Oryctolagus cuniculus: one gene and its partners. The protein of the gene in region 1 interacts with the protein of each later gene in a pairwise test. Links are inferred from orthologs where the notes say so. Each region holds a gene or a part of one and is shown in the gene's direction. Other genes may lie near its edges.

Region 1 (3,511 bases):
TGGAGACATTGGTGACTTCCTCCAGCAGGGAACAGGGTCACAGGAGTGGGAAAGGAGGGGTGTGTGCTCCAGTGTAGGAAACCCATCTGCCTGGAAACGAAGCCAAACTTGAGAGAACCATGGCGGAACAGTCTTCCAGTATAAAAATGAGGCTTTCTGAAGTGCTACCTCCATGCACGTGTGTCACTGCCTCTGGGACCTGGTGTGTTCTCGTAAGGAGTTGGAGAACTAACAGCCTTTCTAGTCCCTGCAGACCCCACTAGCTACCCCACCCTACTCTTACTACTTTTCTGAAACCTGAAGAACACTCCTTGACCAGAGTAAACTGTGCTAGGTGAGAAACCAAGTAAGAATCAGTCCAGTCTGGAAATGAGAGTTCTTCCACAAGACTGGGTTGACTGTGTTCCTGCTCCTGGGCCACTGCTTCCTCCTCATTCCAGCCCTGTTCTCTGGATTAATTCAGGCGGTTCTGTTGAGGAAAGGCTGTGGAAAAATGGATCTGGAGGCCAGGTCTGAGGAGAGTGGGCCCTTGGGCTGCTTGGAGAACAGGATCTTGTGTCTCTCCCTCCTGGGGAAGTTGGGATCCAGGGCTCATTTGCACTGAACTCATCTTGGGGCAGGACACAGGTGCTGGGAGGAGGGGATAGCCATGGGGATTAAGGAAGCACTGCTCACTGGCCTCTGCACATTTCTAGAGCAGAGAATCTCATCACCTGAGCTCTACGATGAGAGTACTGTGTGAACTCACAGTCATCTGAAAACCACCAACTCTAAAATCACTGCTGCTTTGGTTTGGTGTTAATCATGATATGTGGTTAAGATTTTTGTGTGCATCAACAGGAACGCAGGTCTCTGTGTTTGCTTTTCTATTACCTAAGATCACAGAATCCCCAGCTTCCTGCCACTGAAAATGCAAGTTCCCTAGGGCAGAGACGGCATGTTAGGAAAGCCAGTGTCACGGTGTGGTTACCAGCTTACGCTGACCATCTGTCAGTGACTTGCTGCCAGCCACTGCACTACGTGTGTCACTTCTGTCCTGTGCTTCGACCCTCACCCACACTCTCTGAGAAAGACACTGTTGTTGCCCCACTCGACAAAGGTAACGGAGGCTCCCAGAGCCACAGAGATATTTGTGTGCTAGCATCGAGAAGCAGCAATCAACTTGGTTACTAAAGATGAAGCTCTGCAATTGGCACTAACTCCTGTGGTGCAGCTCAGGATGAGGTCTCTGATGGTCACTGACCCCTGTGGTGCAGCTCTAGGTGAGGCTGTGACCATCACTGACCCCTGTGGTGCAGCTCTAGGTGAGGCTGTGACCATCACTGACCCCTGTGGTGTGGCTGTAGATGAGGCTGTGACCATCACTGACCCCTGTGGTACGGCTCTAGGTGAGGTCACTGATGGTCACTGACCCCTGTAGTGTGGCTCGAGATGAGGGTCTCTGATGGTCACTGACCTCTAATGTGTTTGCTTTTCTGCTTGCTTCCTTTGCCCCGCAGGAGTCACCGTTTGGGAGTTGATGACCTTTGGGTCCAAGCCTTACGACGGAATCCCTGCCAGTGAGATCGCGTCTGTGCTGGAGAAAGGAGAACGACTTCCACAGCCCCCCATCTGCACTATTGACGTCTACATGATCATGGTCAAGTGTGAGTGACTGGAGAGGCCATCCTTGCTCGCCTCATTGCACTTTATCATGCCTGCAAAGGCATTGCTATCCTTGTGCAAACAGTTGAGGCCTCTGTTCCTTAGGGGAAACGTTGCCACATTCTCAAGGCAGGACACCTTCCAGAAACTTCCATAAATGCCTCTGCATGTGTTCCTGAAAGAGCACTTGCTTGACTCATTGAGCAGTGTGACCTGACATTTGCAAACCAAAAAGTAAATCAAAATCTTCCGTAAACTCTTAGGGTAAAATGGTCTATTTTCTGAGTTGCTCAATGAAGTACTAAGCTGTCACATTTTTTGAAGACTGTTACCGGAGAGACAGAATGTTTTTAAAAGCCTAACAATGAGTAACCACAAGAAGCGGCAAGGATCAGCATTGCTGCTGTGACTTACAACTTTGAGTAGATTTATATGAGGCCTTCAACAGTGTGGCGTTTGAATGTTTTAAGCTAGTAGAGAATGTGATCTCTTAATACTTGTTCCACCAGAACCACATGTGCAGTAGGCTCTGGAGCCAACACCACCCAGACAGGAAGCCTTTGACAAGGAAGGCATGAGGGGATTCTGACACAGCTGGTGTCAGTGTCAACACCCCTCTGAACCTCAGACCGCAGGGCTCATCCATTTTAACTTGGTTTGGGTTGCGGAAGCTGGGAAACAGAGAGGTCACCTGATTTGTCTGAGGTCACATAGCAGTCTGGCCTAAAATAGCTTGACATCTGCTTATGGAAAATAAACATGAACCCTCGGAGTCAGTGAGTGCCACTCTGGGGCTGTTTCTCCAACTTAGTTACTCTGGACTGGGATCCTTGAGCCACCAAATGCAGCAGCCTGTCTGTCAAGAGCACCCCAGGTGAGGGGGCTCTCACACAGCTCCTTCCAGTCTGAGTCAGTGCTGACTGAGGGATCTGGGGGAAGCATTGGGTGGGGAGGGCACAACCTGCGGCCCTGAAGGCCTTCCCTTTTCTCTAAGCTGAATCTGGCTTCCAGCTTGAGAGAGTGCTGTGGCTGAATGTCAAGTGGGGGCTTTGGCAAATGCTAGGTACCCCAGGTCAGAGCTGCTCACAGACAGGACTGCAAGTCACAGGGGCACTAGACGCCAACCCTAGGAGGAATAGATAGAGAAAAGTTTAGAAGATCTGATTCTGATTCAGATTGAGAATGCTGTCCTGCCATGCCAGGAGTGAGGAGTCCAGCACAGAGCCCAGCTTTGCTCACCACTGTCCTTTCTCCGTTTCCTTCCTCAGGCTGGATGATAGATGCTGACAGTCGCCCAAAGTTCCGGGAGTTGATTGTGGAATTTTCCAAAATGGCCCGAGACCCTCAGCGTTACCTTGTCATTCAGGTACCAGACCACAGCAGTGCCTGTTGTACTGAGCATCAGAGTCCCTGTGTCCCCACACTCCCATTGTTGGCTCCTGGTGCAGTGGAGCAGCCTCAGCTGAGGTACACTGAACATGAAGCCCAAGTTTTGGTGGCCAGCAAACCTCTCTTTACCTCCTTGACTGGCCTCTTTCCCCTAGGTCCATCAGGCAACCTCTCCACCAATCCCCTTCCCTAGTAGGGGAATAGCAAAGCCAGATCGTGGGGCTGTCTCAAGGATTTGGTGAAATCATTTTTGTATAGTATTCTTCAGGCCATGTCACAGCACAACGCTCCCGTAAACGACACCCCTCCCCTTCTGAGCCGCCTTCTCTGTGTGCATCTCAGAGACTTTTTGATGCTTGGTTTCAAAGCATCCATGTGCAGTGGGGTGAGCATCTTTCTTCAGAGAACAAGAGGGGTTACTATGACTAAAGTGGCAAACAGAGGCACCTGCTGACTGGTAGACCTAATCCTGTAACCA
Region 2 (3,985 bases), on another chromosome or scaffold:
GGACCTCATCTCTGATAGCCCGGCTTTTACTAGTTTCTCATCTTTTTCAGTAACGGCAATTTTAGGTTCCCTGTTTTCTCCTGAGCAGCTAGCTGAGGCAGGTGGCAGGAGCCCACCAGATGGGTCCATTTCAATGCAGACCACGTTCAGGAGCCGGGATTAGTGATACTCAATTTTAGAAAACTCCCCCTGGCGGCCATGGGAGGACACCACGGCTAGATCCCGTTCTCTGCCCCACCCCTCCTCTGAGGCCGTGGTGCCTGCACGAGCCCGGCCCTTCAGAACCTGGGTCACAGGCTCGCTTCTCTCCCCAGATTCTGCAACACTCCACCCCAGACCTGCAGGGTCCTGCTACTCCCCCTGCTCTGTGGACCTCGGCGTCCCGGGACTGCTGCCCCAGCTCCTTACTCACCACTTATCAATCACGGTCCCCAACTCTATCGGTGCCCGAAATCCGACGCCCCTAGCCCACGACTGGCCTCGGAGCTTTTCCCTCGGGGAGCCCCGCCTCCGCCCCTCATCCCAGCTGTACTTGTCCGGTCCCTAGGGGGCCCTTCTGCTCCCCCTGAGCCCTGTCAGCCAGCACACTCCCTCCTGCTCCTGTCGGCCGGGAAGACTGGTGCACGACGGTCATCTCCTCGCACCCTGCGCCTGAACCCTGACCTTTGGCCGCACCCCTAAACCCGTCCAGTGGGGCGTGCGTGCGGCACGTCCGCAGCGAGCTGAGTCCCAGGCGCCGCGCCTCCCTCCTCCTGTCTCCTTCCAGGTCGCCTCGCTGCTGGGCGCCTGCACCTGCAGCCCCGGGGCTCGGACCCACGAGTAGCCCCGGTCCTGAGGCGCCGCGCCTCGCCTGCGGCCCATCCTCTCTCGCCTCCTCCCGGCTCGGCGTTCGGCCGCAGCTCTGCGGACCCTCTTTGCCCGGAGAGAGGGGTCATCGGGCGACCTCAGCCACGCCCGTCTCTCCAGCCCACTACACGCCGCTACACGCCGGCACTGCCCCACGCCGCCTCCGGACCCTGCACCAGACCTCGGACGCAGACCCGGCCTGGCCTGGCCCCGCCCGAGTCGCCCGACAGCGGCCCGCCCCCTAGCGCGATTGGCCGCACCCGCCGGGCTCTCCGCGCACTGATTGGTGGAGTCACGGATCGGTCAGGCCGGGCGCCGCGGCGGCGGCGGCGGCGGCGGCTGAGGGGAAGGGAGCCGACCGGAAGGGTCGAAGCGCCCCGCGCCCCTCACACCCACTGCGGCGGCGGCGGCGGGGCGGAGCGGGGCGGGGCGGGGCGGCCAGCCTAGCCGGGAGCGGCCAGCGCGCAGCGCCGCCAGTGCGCCCGCCCGCCCTCTACCCCGGCGCGGCTGCAGGGAGGCGAGGTGAGCCCGAAGGGCTGGCTAGGCCCGGCGTGGGTGCTGGGGTCGGGCGCGGCGGGGAGCGGGGTGGGCGCGGGGCCTCTGGGGCCGGGCCTCCGGGGCTGGCGGGAGCCGCGGGGTTGCTGGCGGGCCGCAGCCCCTGCCCGCCCGTGCCGCAGTCGCCCCCTCCCGCCCGCTGCCAGCGGCGAGGACCGCGGAACCTGGCCCCGCAGACCTGCCCGCGGGGGTCTGTGGCCCCCTCCTCCAGGCGGGCCGCGCAGCTGCCCTCTCGCCCCGGATGCTCGGTGGTCCCCGCGACCTTGGATTAGGCGCTGGCTGCCCCTTCGGGAAAGTGGGGCCATGTCTGATCTTCAAGACTGGGCTGTCTGTGGGAGCACCTGGACGCAAGTCTGTGCACACTGGTGGACTATAGGGCCGGATACTGCCCCTTGCTGGCGTGAGTGTGGTGGGGGCCCCCTCCCCACCCATCCTGTGCCTTGTCATTGCGCGCCCAGTGCTCAGCTACGCGGAGCAGGCCCTGCCCACCACAGCTCTTCCCCAGAGCACTGCTCCCTGGGCCCGCTAATCCTCCCACCTGCCAGGAACTTGCTAACCTCCGTGTCCCCGGGACTTTGCACCTGCTGCCTCTCCTGTTTACGTCGCGTCCAGGACCTTTTTGTTCCTTGCTCTGTCCAGATGTCTCATTTTCAGCGAGGCCTTCCTCGGCTACCCTCTGCAAGGGATCATTCTGTCTTGTTATTTTGTTTCATTTTCTTCCTAGCACTCTGAGTTGAAACTGTTCTATTTATTTGCCTCTCCTTTTCTGTCTTCCCCCACTAGGCTGTAGCTTTCTGTAAACAGGTAGTTGTCTGATTTGTCTGCTTTCTCCTGGTACTTATAGAAAGCATACAGTAAGTATTTGATAGTCTCAGTTCAGCGAATGAATGAATGATGTAAGGAGCGTGCCTACCTGTTGTCTCTGCTTTACCTGTTCATTTAGTGACTTCTGAGTGACTTGTGAAACTCGGAAGCTTGTTCTCATTTTGTAGAACATCTTAACGTCCTTGACCTCTTTATTTGGTAACTATGGTAACGAGCTATGATATAAAATGTTACATCTTTATAATGGTTTAGCTCTAACGACCTCCTAGTAAATCCAGGAGACAGCCACTGAATTCTCCATTATCTAGGTCATGCTTTTTGCTGGGCCCTAGGGACACAAAGGAGAGAGCGACAGGGTCCCTTCCCCCAGAGAGCCTGGGAGCCCCGTGGAAAAGGCATGACGCACAGGGTTGGTTCCAGGACAGTGGATGATGCCTGCGGAAGGGTGGAGCAACAGGTGGTGCTGGTGGGCCTCCACGCTTGCCAGGCCAGGAGAGGTGCAAAGAGTGTGAAAGGGCAGGGCCAAGGAAGGAACCTAACGCTGTGTGGCGTTGGCCAGGTGTGGGAGCGTGTAGTGGTGGGGACCCTGGAGGAGGAGCCCCTCGCCCAGCAATTTTCTAAAAGAAGCTTCAATCCACAGTTGCACCTGCACTCTCCTGATTTCTCAATATTGGCAGTAGCTGTTTGTTGTTGTTGTTGTTGTTGTGAGCCTAGCCAAATACAGACCTCATTCAGCCTGGTTGCGGGATTGTGGTCCTCCAGGACGGACTGTGGGTGGGAGCCCGGCCTGCTCAGGTGCTTACTGAATTGTCCCTGGGGCCCTGGAAGGAGCAGCGAAGACACCTGTTTTCACAGAGGAAGAAAAGCCCAGAGTCCCTGCTCTGCAGCACAATCCCTCACAAGACGATGCTTCCCTGGGGCCCCCAGCCCTGCCTGTGCTCCTCTGGCTTCTAATTCGTTCTGAAACAACAACACTCAATCTGTGTAATGCTTTCCTCCATTTAACCTTTTATTCTCTTCAGAAGTAACCAGTGGGGTTAAAAAAAATCCTATTTTGGCATAGACTTCTGTGGAAAGCTTTCATTTGCCTGAGGATTTAACTTTCAGGATCCTGGGACTTTAAAATAATTTAGTGAAAGGGCATAACTTTGAAATAAGTGTTAAAGAGTAGAATTGAATGTTTCTATTTAAAATAAAATCAGGTTTCTGGCTAAAATATCAGGCAAAGTGATTGTTAGTAACCAGTTATTCCCTGATGTCTCAGGTAACCTAGAAGTCAGGGATTTTTCTTAAGAAGTGCTGATTTGGCTGCAAGGCAACTATTTTTGGTCTAAATATGTACCTGGACTTCACACTTGGCAAGAAAGTTTCCATTTTTATATTTTTATCGTTAATTCTTTTTTTTAAAGATTTATTTTTATTTATTTGAAAGAGTTACAGAGAGAGGTAGAGACAGAGAGAGAGGACTTGGGCCATCTGCCACTGCTTTCCCAGGCCACAGCAGAGAGCTGGATGGGAATTGGAACAGCCGGGTCTCGAACCGACACCCATATGGGATGCTGGCACTGCAGGCCAGGGTGTTAACCTGCTGCACCACAGCGCTGGCTCCCACCTAATAATTAATTCTTAATCATTTGTACTTGATTGTATGAACAAGGTTTCAGCATTAGTCTTTTAACTGTTTATGATAGTGACTCTGAAAAGACACAAAAAGAACGGTATCCAGCTTCAACAGTTAGAAACCCTGGCTGATTTTGCC
Region 3 (4,145 bases), on another chromosome or scaffold:
CAGGGCAGAGCATGCCCAGTTACTCTTTGGCACAGGACCTGGGAAGGAGCGCTTGGCCTAGACCACCTGGATTGAAGTCCCCAGCACCCACTGAGGTGAGGCTATCACCAGCCCATGCACCATTGTCCAGGTGCCGGGCCTGGGACTAAATGTGTGCCTCACTTAAGCTCGCAACCGGCTAGGGAGGCAGGAGCATGACATGACAGTGGGCTCCTTACATTGTGTATAAGATGTAGAGTGTGTGTGGCCAAAGCTACCCTTGAAAAACCTTCAGGAAGGCACCATGCAGGGACTGTCATAGCATTGCTCAGTAAGGCAACAAAGCTTGATTCTTTCCCAAAGCACCAGCACTGGTGGCTATGTGTGTGTGTGTGAGAGAGAGAGTGAGTGTGTAGAACCGAGTGAAGTAGCTCTATTTTGTTCAGAGGCCACTGCTGCATTGCACAAATGCATTGCCTTTTAGACCCTGGCTTGGCTGTCTGACAACAAGTTGCTCCGTCTATAGAAATGCACAGTCTGAGACTGGTGAAGAAATTAGAAGATTCCTACTCCTGTCTCCAGGGAATGTGCTTTTTGATTGAAACACATGATGTCATCAACAGTGAATAAAACATGAGCTGTAAACACACAGTGGAATCCAAGGCACCAGCTGTAGCAATTGTCACTTCTAGCTTTCTGATTTTTTCATTTGAAGGTTCTCAAGTTAAATGCATCTATTTGTTATGTGTGTATAAGGCAATTCCTCTGCTTTCCTATTTTACATATAGGGAAACTGAGCTCCCCAGATTTTAAGTCCTTGCCTAAGGTTGCACAGCACAGAGAAGCTCCCATCAGAAGGGAACCCGGGTTGGCCCAGGGTAGCGCCTTGCTCAGCCTTGGATGCCTGACGCACTACAGACTCACCCTCTCATTTCAATGGTAGCAGGCAGAGACTGCTAGAGACTAGGGCTGAGAGAAGAGGGAAGAAGGGGCATCATGCATGCGTCCCCCCACACCACAGCTCCCTGTTGCTGGAAGTTGTCTATATTTTAGGTCAATTGTCAGATGAATAGATATTCATCTGCAAAGCCCCAGCAGAGCAAGAACGTGGTGTAGACCCATGGGGTGGGGCTGAAGGGACAGGAGTTTTAACAGCAAAATGCTTGGGCTGGCTTCGGAGTTTAAGCGCCCTTCATGGCCCCTCCTGCTGGGCAGGGGTGCCCAGGACCACGGGCGAGGTGGAGAATGACCTGCCCTGTCACTCTGTCTGCATCTCAAGCCCTCAGAGCTGGGCTTCCTTGTTTACTTATTTAGAAGCCAGCAGAGGAAGTGGTAAAGGAAACTAGCCAAGTCGTTTTCTGAGAAGAGACCATATTTGTTCGCAGAGGAAGCTGCTGCTTTCTGGGATCCGACTACAGCAGAAAAGACGTCTGCTCCAACAAGGCCGATCCAGGGGCAGCTGGGAGTTGGGAGAGCCAAGGACGCCTCCAAGATCTGGATTTGGGGTTCTCTGTCCATGGGTGCAGCATCCACGCTCAACCTGTGAGCCCCCTCCTAAGACAGCGGCCATGGCACTGAGGAACGTGCCCTTTCGCTCCGAAGTCCTCGCCTGGGACCCTGACAGCCTTGCTGACTACTTTAAGAAGGTGAGACCCACTCTTTTGTTGGTGGTCGGGCTGGGAGTGCCCTCCATGGGCTGGGCAGAAGACAAGAGGTGTAAAAGACAGCTGTGGAGTGACTGGCCTCTCGGCAGCCTTGTTGGGAGAGTGAGCGCCATGGGAGACCACTGAGAGCTCCTTGCAGTGAGTTCTGGAGAGGAGGGTGGGAGCAGGAGCTCTTGAATGAGTAGGTGCCTACCATGTGCCAGGGCCTGAACTCGGTACACTGCAGCACTGTGCCATTGATCCCTCTTGACAATCTTCTGAGGTCAATATTGTCATCCCTGTGGCTCAGCTTCAAGGTAGGCTCAAGGAAGCTAAACAGCCCAAAGCCACAGGGACTACAGGTGGTAGTGACAGAAGGATTGGAGTCACTTCTGTGCAGTTTCAGTCTGTGCTCTGAGATGAAGAGAACTACATTCTAGAAAGGGGAGACCTGGTGCTCTGGGTGCAGAACAACAGGCAGGGAAGGAGGCAGGGGTAGAGGGTGAACAACGCTAGACATGGCGTTTGGCCACTCACTGCTCAGGGCCCAGAAAGCTGGGTCCTCAAGTTCTTACATAGATCAGAGTCTCACTGCAGTGGAGCCGGGACCAGGGTTGCTGTCCTACCTTCCAGACTTGGAAGAGATGCTCAAAGATCGTCTGCTTGTCCACCTGCTGGTGGGGATGACAGGACACAAGCCTGCCCGAGCAAGTATGGATCCTCTGTTCCTGTCTCTAGCATAGGATGCCTTGCAGGGGACATTTGCTCTCTTTTTTAAGATTTATTTATTTGTTTGAAAGTCAGAGTTACACAGAGAAAGGAGAGGCAGAGAGAGAGGGAGAGAAAGAGCGAAAGAGGTCTTCCATCTGCTAGTTCACTCCCCAGTTGGCTGCAACGGCCGGAGCTATGCCAATCCAAAGCCAGAAGCCAGGAACTTCCTCCAGGTCTCCCATGTGGGTGCAGGGGCCCAAGGACTTGGGCCATCTTCTACTGCTGTCCCAGGCCATAGCAGAAAGCTGGATCGGAAGTGCAGCAGCCCATATGGGATGCCGGCGCTTCAGGCCAGGGCGTTAACCCACTGTACCACAGCACCAGCCGAAGGGACATTTGCTCTTCTAACATCCTCTTCCCTGCAGGCTGGCACCACATTTAGTTGATACTGCAGACCAGCATAAAGAAGAGCTTGTAGCACTAAGACTTTACATGTCATCTCACTTAACTGTTTTTCCTGGGGAAACTGAGCCCCGCGGGGGTGGAATAGGCTCTCTGGGACACATAGCTGAACCTGAGGTCTCATAGTACCAAGGTATTTGCAGTGATGATGGTTCTTCCCCAGCCTAAAAACAAAAACCTTGAACCAGGTGTGGCATGGTAGGGGCACAGCCCCACAGAGCCTGTCGTTTTCTGTTTCTTGTGCATTTCACTTCTGTTGTCCCCTCTGCCTCCACCCCACACATGTATAAAGTCATAACAAAACTAGGTTTTGGGTTTGTAGATGCAAAGATCATTGGACAACTGGCCCGACTGGCCTTTGAAGAGTGTTTCTAATACTTCTCTGAGATAGGGCGATCAAAGGTAAAATTTGCCCAGATGGAAGTATGTGGTACGTTATTGCAATAAAGAAGGGAGAAAGGAGTTGAGAGTTACAGAGGGAAAGGCCCAGGAGAGGCTGAGGGGCTATTTCAAATGTGGTCAGAAAAATTTCACAACTCAGCTGACCGACAGAGAGTCTGTAGACAAAGTTCCTGTCAGCGCAGGGCGATAGGACAGACTGGAGGGCAGGACACAGCTCTCTGTCTGAGTTCGGGGAAGAGATGATTCTCTTCTTGGAGTTCTAAGACCTTGCAAAAACTGCATAGCACTGGGCCAGGTTCCCCTCCCGGCACAAAAGGACCCAGGTAGGAACAAGGAGGCAGAGGGGAATCTGTGACCCTGGAAGTCCCAGGCCATCTCAGTCCCCAAGAGACAGAACCAGGAGCGCACTGACTGCAAGTTCATTTGGGGATGGATCTTAGTGATCAAGCATACCCATTTAACGCATCAGTGGGTAGGCGTTTGGTGGGTGCAGCTTCTACCCACGTGTCAGGGTCAGGCTTCCCTCAGTGATACCACGCTGCCCAACTCTGGAGTCAGACACACCTTGTTGGAACCCTGGCTCTGCCACCTGCTAGTTTGGTGGCCTTCCCTTAGCTACTTCGCCTCTCTGAGCAAGTCAGTCCTCAAGAGAGAAAACATTGCTCAACACAGGGTCATCTGGGGATGGATCTTGGAAATAAAATGTATCATTTCACGGGTTGATTGGTAGATGATTGGAAGGCAATTGGTAGGCACAAGTTCTACCAAAGCAGGCAATTAAACAGACATGAAGGGTAACAAACCCAGTGGAATGGTTGAGAGGAGTAAAGGAAATAGTGTATGTGAGGCATTCAGCAGACAGAGGTATCAAAATGTTTATTGCTCCCAGTTTCCTGCTGTGTTAACTGGCCACTCATTGGTATGTGGATCGCAGGGCTCTAAGTCTTT
Region 4 (4,254 bases), on another chromosome or scaffold:
TCGGGCCCCTGCACTCACATTGGAGATGAGGAAGAAGCTCCCAATTCTGGCCCAGTCTGGCCCAGCCCTGGACATTTTGGCCGTTTGGGGAGTGAACCAGAGATTGGAAGATCTCTCTCTCTCTCTCTCTCTCTCTCTCTCTAACTCTGCCTTTCAAATAAATCTTTTTTTTTTTTTTTTTTTTTTGACAGGCAGAGTGGACAGTGAGAGAGAGAGAGAGAAAGGTCTTCCTTTTGCCGTTGGTTCACCCTCCAATGGCCGCCGCGGCCGGCGCACTGCGGCCGGCGCACCGCGCTGATCCGATGGCAGGAGCCAGGAGCCAGGTGCTTTTTCTGGTCTCCCATGGGGTGCAGGGCCCAAGCACCTGGGCCATCCTCCACTGCACTCCCTGGCCACAGCAGAGAGCTGGCCTGGAAGAGGGGCAACCGGGACAAAATCCGGCGCCCCAACCGGGACTAGAACCTGGTGTGCCGGCGCCGCTAGGCGGAGGATTAGCCTAGTGAGCCGCGGTGCCAGCTCAAATAAATCTTTAAAAAAAGAAATTTCCGGCTGGCGCCGAGGCTCAATAGGCTAATCCTCCACCTACCAGCGCTGGCATACCGGGTTCTAGTCCCGGTTGGGGCGCCGGATTCTGTCCCGGTTACTCCTCTTCCAGGCCAGCTCTCTGGTGTGGCCCAGGAAGGCAGTGGAGGATGGCCCAAGTGCTTGGGCCCTATACCCCATGGGAGACCAGGAGAAGCACCTGGCTCCTGCCATCGGATCAGCGCGGTGCGCCGGCCGAGGGCGCCAGCCGTGGCGGCCATTGGAAGCTGAACCAACAGCAAAAGGAAGACCTTTCTCTCTGTCTCTCTCTCTCTCACTATCCACTCTGCCTTTCAAAAAAAAAAAAAAAAAAAAAAAAAAGAAATTTCCTTTCAAAAAATGAAGACCCTTGCTTTTTTGGGGTGATGAACAGAATTTCAAGGCAATAATAGTAATGATAATATATAATATCATGGTTCTAAGTAGTTTATATTAAGTTCTTAAAATGGAATAATATTTTGAAGTAAGACTGTTGTTATGGCCATTATACAGATAACAAAACTGAAGAGCAGAGAGTTTAAGTAACTTGCTGAAGATGTCATAGCTAGTTGGAGGCAGAGTCAGGGTGTGAACCCCAGGCAGATAGACTCCTAAACTCTTCATTGCTGTGGTTTAGTTGTATGTGTGTATATGTCAGATTCAATGTGGCCAGAAAGATATTCTAATTATATAGACCCCCCCTACACCTTTGAACTGGAAATAGAAAATTTCATGGAAGTAGTTAAGAGGAAATACTGAGATTTACAACTTAGGGGAAGGGATATGCAAATTGGAAAGCACGGGAATGGGGTAGAGTAGAGGGGTGGGTTAGCAGTGCAGGCTGGGCAGCTCTGATAGGAATGGAGGAAAGACACTGACACTGGTGACTACAGAGTGGGAAATGTTGGGGGAGTTCCAGGGACCATGGGTGGGTGGTCAGCAAGAAGCCAGGGAGCAGGACATGGAAATAAGGGTCAATAATTCAGAAGAGAATTTTCTGGGAGTCACTGCTCAGGTGGAGAGACCTAGTTACAACACTTAAATGCAAGACTAATTAAGCAGGACCATGGTAAATTGCCCATGAATTATCTGTGTGTCTATATACCTATTTTTTCAATGAAGCGGATGAAACTCTCAATAACGTTTAGATATACTGTAGGAAAATTGTACTATAATCATGTGCTGCTTCATTCACTAAATCTTTCACATTTTTAAGACTCATTCATGCTATTTACCTTGCCCACGGGGAAGTTTTTTTTTTTTTTTTTAAATCTGAGAAATAGCCTTCGCTGCATCAAGTGTTTTAAGATTGTAACCTCATTGCTTCTAAGTTGGAAACCTTCCAGTCTTTTCTGTGTTTGTTGCTGTTTGTGTGAGGAATATGGATAAAAACCAAAACAAAACAAACCAACAAAAACAAGGAAAGGCTTCCCGAGAGAGTAAATATACGTGGCCCCTGACAGCTACAGAAGTAGCCTGTAGTGCAGAAGACAGTGTGCAGCTTGTTAACGCAGGGACGTTAGCTTCTGAGAGCATGTGTGTGTCTGTGTGTGCGCATCTGTGTGTCTCTCTGTGTGTGCCTGTTCGTTTCTGCATCCAGCTTGCGTCACGCCACAGTTATCAGTGTTTCTCAATGACTTCCGTAGGTGAGGAGGATTTCTTTGATGGTTAAAGACCTAAACTTCCGAGACATTAAATGTGCATGATGCCTGGAGGGCTTTCAGCGCTGCACTAAGCATGCATGTCTCATACCCAGAGTAGCCACAGCGCCTGCATTCCCACAATAGCGGCAGCCCTGAGCAGATGCTGCCAGAGTGCTTATCTGGCTGTGCTTTTCACTTTGGGACAAAGTTCTACAGTCATATCTCATGGATTGATTTTTCTCCACACTGTCAAGCCTGAATTGTGACGATCTCATCATGCCATAAAGGGCAGCATGAGCCCAGTTTTTGGGGCTGCTAAGGATTTCATTTTTGCCTTTCCCCCCTCTTTCTGGAGATGTGTATCAGAAAAAGGCTCTGCCTTTAGAGAGAAATTTTCCTGCTCTTGCCAATAATGTGTAACAATATTAAATTTAATGGCAGACCTTGAAGTATATAAAAACTTAAGTCCAGAAAAAGGTAAGATTCATACTACTAATTTTAAGGTAAGTGTGTTAGTCCTAGTAAAAGATGGTAAGCATCTCTTATTTTATTTCCTGTTTAGTTAAGTGGAAGACTTGTTTGAATTCTTGACAATGTATTTGGCATATTCTATTTAACATGAAAGGTAAAGACTTTTGATTAGGCAAAAGTGTTTTTTTCTTGTCTGTGTACTTTTATAGTGCTAGAATTTGCATGCTGACAAATTGAAAGTACATCATTATAATAAAGTGGTCAGTGAGGAAATCATTTGTGTTAGGTTGTAAGTCAAGGTTGCAGACATGCCTAGAAATTTCATTTGTCTGCCACTTGTAAACAGTGGATTTTAATGTAAACACTGTCAAGTTTGAGTAACGATGAATACAGCTGTATTTTAACTTTCTATGGTAATCTGGAGAGAATGATTCCCAATTTATACCAATTAAAGACAGTCATAGGTAGTACAAATAATTGGCTTTATAAAATGAATGGCAGAAGTATTCAGCACAGATAAAATGGAGGCAGAATCCATGTGTCATGTCCTTAAAGACATTCATCTCCAGTAGCATGGGAGAAATATTTCAAGGTATGAGTTAGATCAGGAATTTAAAATACATGGAGATTGTTCTTGAATTCCGAGAAGTGTTCCTGCCTGGTCAGACAGAATAAATGTCAAGAAATGCCTTCTAAACTTATCTTCAGACTGAATTTTGTCTGTCATTTCGGATTATTCATGTGCATCTACTCAAATATAACTTTAGCACCTCAGTGCTTGATCTGAGGGCCTGTCTGGAGATTGTTGTTAGTTTATGCTATCAACTCCAGTGTGCCATGGTCATGGCATCAGCATTGATGCTTGCTTTTTATTCAAAATGCCAGTTGTACCATGGTTGAGATATCCCAAGTATACATGAATTTTATAAGCCTGGGAAGAAGCTTTTATACAGAAATAGGATAGGATTTGGTTTACTTGAGATGTAGTTTGTCAGAAGGATCTGCATTTAGAGTTTTGTCCTTTAATGTATTTATAAACTGTTTTGTATGCAGAATGTAAAAGTAAATGTAATTACATAGTGTACTGTCAGGATTGTCTGGTATTACGTATCATGGGAGTAATGATGAAAGTGACTTCTCTAACTTTCACTTCATAATGTGGTCTTTAAGATAAAATTAAAGTTAAAGTAAAGCTATATCTGAAACATTATGGTAACTTGAATGAATTATTTAGTCACATAAGCTTTTAAAGCTGATAAGTATAAGGTGTATTATTTTTATAGTAGATGTTTTCACTCACAAATGGTTTTACTAGAGTTTATTAATTGAATATTTATTTCAGAGCTTACAAAGAAATATTAATATCACATATTTCATATTTTGTCTTCATAGAAATAGATTTTCTATTTAATGATTTATAGAGTGAGAAATTTCCTTTACTGATTTTTTTGATATTAAAATTATCTTAGTCACCAGCAAGACTATTCTTCAAATCTTTCTTCTGAACTCTAGATTAATTTTAAGAGGAACATCTTAAATTATACAAACTATGAGTGTATAAAATTAATAAGTTCTGAAG

Evidence for each region.
Region 2: the proteins of EGFR (region 1) and MAPK9 interact in a protein complementation assay, tested with the Homo sapiens proteins (3 studies listed by BioGRID and IntAct, with this or other methods). The link is inferred for Oryctolagus cuniculus from reciprocal best matches to the Homo sapiens genes EGFR and MAPK9.
Region 3: the proteins of EGFR (region 1) and LCP2 interact in binary tests that used the Homo sapiens proteins (3 or more experiments, as listed by UniProt). The link is inferred for Oryctolagus cuniculus from reciprocal best matches to the Homo sapiens genes EGFR and LCP2.
Region 4: the proteins of EGFR (region 1) and PLCH1 interact in a protein complementation assay, tested with the Homo sapiens proteins (2 studies listed by IntAct). The link is inferred for Oryctolagus cuniculus from reciprocal best matches to the Homo sapiens genes EGFR and PLCH1.

What each region holds. Positions count from the first base shown.
Region 1 is NC_091447.1:57,876,132-57,879,642, forward strand, and holds part of EGFR (epidermal growth factor receptor), read left to right. Parts: intron 1-1,499; coding exon 1,500-1,646; intron 1,647-2,912; coding exon 2,913-3,010; intron 3,011-3,511. UniProt on the Homo sapiens protein: Receptor tyrosine kinase binding ligands of the EGF family and activating several signaling cascades to convert extracellular cues into appropriate cellular responses.
Region 2 is NC_091437.1:67,213,694-67,217,678, forward strand, and holds the start of MAPK9 (mitogen-activated protein kinase 9), read left to right. Parts: upstream 1-1,174; 5' UTR 1,175-1,368; intron 1,369-3,985. UniProt on the Homo sapiens protein: Serine/threonine-protein kinase involved in various processes such as cell proliferation, differentiation, migration, transformation and programmed cell death.
Region 3 is NC_091437.1:57,184,401-57,188,545, reverse strand, and holds the start of LCP2 (lymphocyte cytosolic protein 2), read left to right. Parts: upstream 1-1,334; 5' UTR 1,335-1,547; coding exon 1,548-1,625; intron 1,626-4,145. UniProt on the Homo sapiens protein: Adapter protein primarily involved in signaling pathways within T-cells, as well as other immune cells such as platelets, mast cells, and natural killer (NK) cells.
Region 4 is NC_091435.1:125,274,408-125,278,661, forward strand, and holds the start of PLCH1 (1-phosphatidylinositol 4,5-bisphosphate phosphodiesterase eta-1), read left to right. Parts: upstream 1-1,443; 5' UTR 1,444-1,942; coding exon 1,943-2,207; intron 2,208-2,234; exon of another isoform or gene 2,235-2,638; coding exon of another isoform or gene 2,639-2,681; intron 2,682-4,254. UniProt on the Homo sapiens protein: The production of the second messenger molecules diacylglycerol (DAG) and inositol 1,4,5-trisphosphate (IP3) is mediated by calcium-activated phosphatidylinositol-specific phospholipase C enzymes.